2 linked regions of the Oryzias latipes genome follow. The protein of the gene in region 2 binds, or shares a complex with, the protein of the main gene of each other region. Links are inferred from orthologs where the notes say so. Each region holds a gene or a part of one and is shown on either strand. Other genes may lie near its edges. The genes, in order: pbrm1 and arid2.

What was found.
Region 1: arid2 (region 2) and pbrm1 share a complex: the UniProt entries of both Homo sapiens proteins name them as parts of the SWI/SNF-B (PBAF) chromatin remodeling complex. The link is inferred for Oryzias latipes from reciprocal best matches to the Homo sapiens genes ARID2 and PBRM1.

What each region holds. Positions count from the first base shown.
Region 1 is NC_019863.2:2,537,076-2,540,904, forward strand, and holds part of pbrm1 (protein polybromo-1), read left to right. Parts: intron 1-795; coding exon 796-912; intron 913-981; coding exon 982-1,050; intron 1,051-1,130; coding exon 1,131-1,229; intron 1,230-1,307; coding exon 1,308-1,393; intron 1,394-1,480; coding exon 1,481-1,566; intron 1,567-1,669; coding exon 1,670-1,886; intron 1,887-2,153; coding exon 2,154-2,295; intron 2,296-3,441; coding exon 3,442-3,536; intron 3,537-3,616; coding exon 3,617-3,829. UniProt on the Homo sapiens protein: Involved in transcriptional activation and repression of select genes by chromatin remodeling (alteration of DNA-nucleosome topology). Required for the stability of the SWI/SNF chromatin remodeling complex SWI/SNF-B (PBAF).
Region 2 is NC_019881.2:4,013,435-4,016,031, reverse strand, and holds part of arid2 (AT-rich interactive domain-containing protein 2), read right to left. Parts: intron 1,790-2,597; coding exon 1,666-1,789; intron 1,440-1,665; coding exon 1,348-1,439; intron 65-1,347; coding exon 1-64. UniProt on the Homo sapiens protein: Involved in transcriptional activation and repression of select genes by chromatin remodeling (alteration of DNA-nucleosome topology). Required for the stability of the SWI/SNF chromatin remodeling complex SWI/SNF-B (PBAF).

The sequences.
Region 1 (3,829 bases), on a different chromosome or scaffold from region 2:
AAAAATGTCAGCGCTGGGTATCGAACCAGCGAGCTTCTGCCCCACAGAAAGAAGCAAAGGTTTTCAAGGATTCCCCACGTGTTTCAATTGAGGCAAAAATCCTGGAAATCCTGGGATATCATGAAAAGTTCAAGCATTTGAAAAACCAAAGGTCATAGCTGGAAAAAGCTGAAAGAGCTGAACATTTGAATAGTTGAATGGTTAAAAAAACTGAAAAATTGTAGAAGGAGATACTATAAAAAAGAAAGAGAAACAGGAAAACAAGGGGTTAAAGGGTTTACAACATTCAACCAATTAAACCAAATTAGAAAATGGAAAAGGTAGATATTCTGGGACATGGAGCACTGATTGGATGATGACGTTTGTTTGCCTTTTCAACCTATGTTATTTGTGATGGCGGTATCCACAGGCAGAAGCTTCTGACCACAATCACTGCAAAAGTTCAATCAACCTTTTACCACAGTTCAGGTAAAACATCCTTCTGCTTTCCCTCTTCTTCAAAGCTCAAACATGATCAACCAATCAGTGACATCCCATTGTGTCTGCCTTTTCCAGTTTCTTAGTTTGTTTCCTTATTTGTTTGGATTTCTAAAATGTAGTGCTTTTTCTGATTATTTGTTTTGCTTTTGTACTGTCATTGTGTTCTTTAATATGTTTGAGTGCTGAGTGATTCATTGATCTGATTTGCACTTCGAGGCCTCTGTGTTGTAGTAGAAAATGTCTCCAGTCAAAAGGATGATGAAGCTGATGAACCAAGGCATTTCCATAAATCTGATCCCTTTCATTCTAACTCAGACGACACCTTCCTGCTTAAAGGATGTCCTAGAGCAGCTTCTTGATGCTGTCGTGTCTTATACCGAACCAACGGGACGCCTAGTCAGTGAGCTGTTCCAGAAGCTTCCCTCCAAAATGGTACATGGGACCCCGACAATTCATATGTTAGGAGTCTTTACTCTAATTTGAAGTCTCTCTTTTGTTTAGCAATATCCAGACTATTACGCCGTCATCAAAGAACCGATAGATCTGAAAACCATCGCTCAGAAGATCCAGGTACCGGTTCCAACGGAGCTGTCTGGGTGTGACGAAGTTTTTGCTGTTTTTATCCACATCAAGTAAATTTTTTGTTCTAGTTGGGTCACTACAGGAGTTGTGCTGCCATGGCAAAAGACATAGACTTGTTGGTGAAGAACGCTAAAGCGTACAATGAGCCGGGGTCACAGGTTTTTAAGGTATGTTTCTGAGAATCTTATGTGCTGCATAGTGTCCGTCCGACCTTTCACACGTGTTCCTGGTATTTTGTCTGCTAGGACGCTAACACGATTAAAAAGATTTTTGCACAGAAGAAGTCTGAGCTGGAGCACGGGGAACCTGTCAAATCCAGCATCCGCATCAGGTTTGGACCACAACGACCTCTTTAAACAACGTCGGCGGGAACTTCAGCGAATTTTGGTTTGACCTTTTCTAACGTGTTCTCTGTAAGGAATAGAAAGTCAACTCAAGGGGATCGCCTCTCCGCCATCACCATGGCACTTCAGTATGAGAGTGACGAGGAGGGAATACTATCTGGTACCTTTGCTCCTCTTTCGTAAATGGACTTAGTTTTTCTCAGACATTGATGATGCTTCTTTATTTTGTGAAATCCCGTGTTTATTGTTCCTGCATTTGTCAGGCTCTGTCCACTATGATGAGGGGGAATCTGAAGCGGAGAGCATGACATCAAACATGGACATGAGCAACCCCATCTTCCAGCTTTACGAAGCCGTGCGAGGAGCCAGGAACAGTCAGGGCCAACTGATTTCCGAGCCTTTCCTGCAGCTGCCCTCCAGGAAAGACTATCCTGACTACTACCACCAGATCAGTCAGCCCATCTGCCTGCAACAGATCAAGTATGGCGGAAATAAGTGGAATTAAAAGAATATTTTAATAAGGAACAAATTCAGTGTTGGACAAAAGTTTCTCAAGAAAAATGATGTTGTTCACCGGGAAGTTTGTTTACCTCATGTTTTTGTTGCTTTTAGTTAAAAGTTCTTTTGTTTTCTTTGCATTTCTGCCCGTGAGAAGTATTTTCCCCACACATACTCACCCACTGTAAAGTCCAGTATTTCTGTGCCCTCTCCCCCTTCCCAAATGTGAGAACCCTCAATTCCCCACAGGAGCAAGATGAAGAACAACGAGTATGCGAGCGTGGAGCACGTCGACTCAGATCTGACGTTGATGTTTGAGAACGCCAAACGCTATAATGTTCCTCACTCCTCCATCTACAAGCGTGCGCTCAAACTCCAGCACATTCAGCAGGTCTGGTTTTTCTGCTCCAATCATCTTTTGATCTTTATTCAGTCAGCCACCAACTGTGCAGGTTCTTCCACTTAAAAAGATGAGAGAAGCCTGTACTCTTCATCATGGTTTCCCTCATCTAAAATCTCATTGTCTGATTTTTTTCAAATAATTTATTTGTAAATTATGGTGGAAAATAAGTATTTGGTCAATAACAACAGTACAGCTTTGTTATATACCCTTTGTTGTCAATGACAGCAGTCAAATGTTTTCTGTGAGTCTTGTGTTGTTGGTATTTTGGTCCATTCCTCCATGCAGATCTCCTCTAGAGTAGTGGTGTTTTTGGGTTGTTGCTGGACAACACAGACTTTCTTCTCCCTCCAAAGATTTTCTATGGGGTTGAGATCTGGAGACTGGCTAGGCCACTTCAGGACCTTGAAGTGCTTCTTATGAAGCCACTCCTTCGTTACCCGGGCAACGTGTTTGGGATGGTTGTCATGATGGAAGGAGGTTTTCATTTAAAATTTGACGATACATGGCCCCATTCATTCTTTCCTCAACACAGATCAGTCATCCTGGTCCCTTTGCTGAAAACAGACCCAAAGCATGATGGGTGAGATCTTGCGAGGAGTCTCAGATCGAGATTATCAGTGGTCTTGTATGTCTTCCATTTCTTCACACCAAGCTGCTTACCTGTTGCAGATTCAGTCTTTCCAGCCTGGTGTAGGTCAACATTTTGGTTTCTGGTGTCCTTAGACAGCTCTTTGGTCTTAATCATAGTGGAGTTTGGTGTGTGACTGTCTGAGGTTGTGGACAGGTGTCTTTTCTATAGATAACCAGTTCAAACAGGAGCTTTTAAAACAGGTAACGAGTGGAGGAAAGAGGATCCTCTTACAGAAGAAGTTACAGGTCTGAGAGCCAGAAGTTTTGCTTGTTTGTAGCTGACCAAATTCTTACTTTTCACCATAATTTGCAAATAAATTATTTAAAAGTCAGACAATGTTATTTTGTGTCCTCCATCATGAGCAAAATGCTAAAAGACGATATTAAAAACACCAAAACATCATTTTCATTAGAGTGGGGCTTTAAGAACACTATTTTTTAACTTCCATCAGTTTCTTTGTATTTTTCATGAAGTATAATGGCTGAATCCTGTTATTCGTGTAGCTGAAGAGGAAGGAACTTTTACAGAGAGAGGATGATGATGGTGACAGCATGCTCTCCTCAGCCACGTCTGACACCAGTACTACGAAAAGAAAAAGGTTAATTGCACCCATTTCATTCTCTGAACATTCATTGTGGAAGAGAACTTGGTGTTAATTCTGCTTTGTGTGTTTTCTAGTCATAAGAAGAATACCAAAAAGAATCGCATGAAGGCTCTGGTAGCTGCTGTGACTGAGGCGCGAGAGGCCGGCGTTGGTCGTAGACTGTGTGACCTCTTCATGGTGAAGCCCTCAAAGAAGGACTACCCCGACTATTACAAAATTATCCTGGAGCCCATGGACCTGAGGACCATCGAGCACAACATTCGCTCAGACAAGTATCTGACCGAGGA
Region 2 (2,597 bases):
GGTGGAGACCTCCATGTTACTCAACGCAAGAACAGAGAGGTGCGTCTCGTGCCTCTTCACCAACCTGACAAATGAGAAGAATCAAATCTTTAGACATGGACCCACAAAGCTCAAGTTTCACACCAGCAGCTTTGATTCCTACACATATAGACACGTCTAAGGAAAAGCTGCAAACAAATTAGTGTGTGAGAGGAAAACAACAACCCTGCTGAAGTTAGGCATCCTGTTCACTTCCAGGTTACACCTGGTTTGAAAACAAAAGAACCAGGTGCAGTTCCAAAAGCAATCCTTCTAGGATTTCACAATCTGGTAATTACACCAGATCCCAGTTTTTCTCAAACCTGCAACTTTGGCGGATTTTTTTCATTTTTGAGTTTCGCTATCATCAAACTGTCTTCACCAATCAGGTTCAGAGGCTCGAACACAAACACTATAAAAATAAATCTGACCAATCAAACGAGTCGCTGCATGAATACCTGGAGATCAAGACATGGCTGATCAAGTCTCAACATTGAGTTCATAATAAACAGACTATGGAGTGGTCCATTTGTAAACAGATTCTGCTGCAGTTCCCTTATAAACAGATTCATGGGGGTATTCCATAAAGCAGGTTATTTGAGTTACCACTGTAAGGCTAAGGAAGCAGATAAATGGAGGTATGTTTCAGGGTAGGTCACGTTGCCATAGCAACTCATGCTCTGCACATAACCTGGTCTGGAGCAGGTTTAGTTGAAGGTTAGTTTGTTTTCAGTGAGGTGAAGCAGCATGGCGTGTCCATTTGAAGATGATTTAGTGGATGAACAAGCTCAGATAATATTTTTTCCACCGTGAGAGGGGGATAAGACCACATAAGGATGTTGGAAAGAGAAACTTTTTTACTTTGATCTAACTTAATTATTTGCTTCAGTTAAGATAAATCTTTTTTTTGTTAGGTCAGTTTAAAAAGTAACACGTAGTTTTCAGATAGTTATTTTACTTTCAATTCAATTGATTCAAATAAGTAGGTGTAACTTTGGTGCTGCTGTTAGATCGGCACCGCAAGGGATTGTGGGATACCATTTCTTTTCCCTGTCTGGACGGATTTTGGTTTAAGTGTGGGTTTTTGACCAAATGTGTTTAGTTGTTTAGCTGTTTTACTGTGTTTTACCGAGTTTTGCAGAGTTATTTTGTCCCACTATGCTTAAGTCTCTGCACCATGAGTGAGAGTGAAAGAGAGGATGATGAGTTTATATAGCACCCCTACTGTCCATATCCATAATGACAATGACGGAAATTGGTGCCATTCGGTTGTAAACGGATTCTGGTGCGATTCTGCGAAAGTTGTGTATCTTTGGCTCTTATACTCACTTTCGACCGCAGTCTGAGTGCTTTGCGATGTTCTTTAACGTTAAGGCAGCAGTTAGTCGAATGTGTTTCGTCACTGGTCCCTCTTTCTCATCCTGGGGAGGCACAGACAGAGAAGGGAGGGGTTTAGAGTTAGCAATTCTGACAAAAAACGTTCATCAGTAAATGTCAACAGTAATGTAAAAAACATAAAACTGCTCAGATCTCTTTACTCCAGTGTCAGTCCAGACTGGAGTCTGAGCTGCTTACTGCCCCCCACCCACCACCAAAAGCCCTTCTGAAGGGCAGGAGAACTGCACCGGGTCAGTCTGCTGTACTCACAGTGAAGTCCCTGAAGACCAGGTTTCGAGAGCCTCTGCGCAGCGCCATCAGAGCGGCGCTCGGGTGATTGATGATTGCTTTGGGCGCCCTTTGTGCCACGGGGCTGCCGGCCACCGGGGGTGTCCTTCACAACACGCCAAAAACACAAGTCAGCAAACATCGTAGAGGTGATGCCATCAAAAGCAAACACTGCCAAAACCCTGGTAAAAGAAACTTTTGGTGAAAGCCAGTTAACCCTTTAAGGCCGGAGGTCTAGCTTCAGTGTTGAGCTTTTTTAAAAGCGTATTTAGAGGTTTTGTTTTTTATATTAATTATCCGGGCGCATCCGTTTAAGAAAGTGGAAAAATATCAAGTTTTTACTAGAAATTATTCACAATAAAGTTCAAAGTGGCTGTAAGGAAAACTCTGATGACCCAGCATTCTAGCAGCATTTAAACACATCGTCTAACACCAAACTTGGAGATGTGGCGAGTCTTGCATCGGATTTGTGCAGTTCTGTGTGCATCGGGCGACTGGTGCGTGCAATTTAAAGATTCCTGTGCGTTGGAGCCGTTGGCTGAAATTTCAGGTTGTCAGTGCGTAAAGTGTATTTCATATTTTCGGTAGTTGAGTGTACACACAGTTATCAAAAATTACGCAGACACAAATCCTGTAAAGAAAAGAACAGTCTCCTTCGATTTGTGTGTGTATAGTTTTTGATTTGTAACTCATACAATACAATGTGCGTAACTGTGTGTACTTGTAATTGTGTATTAACTTGTACAAAAGTGACAAAATACAATAAACACACACACAACTTTAAATAACAGCAGCTTAAAACTAACTATACATGTAAATCTTTAAAAAGCACAGTCGACTGATACACAAAACCGCGTTTACCCATAGTACAGGTGTGAGACCTCACATCTCCAAGTTTTTTGTGTTAATGATGC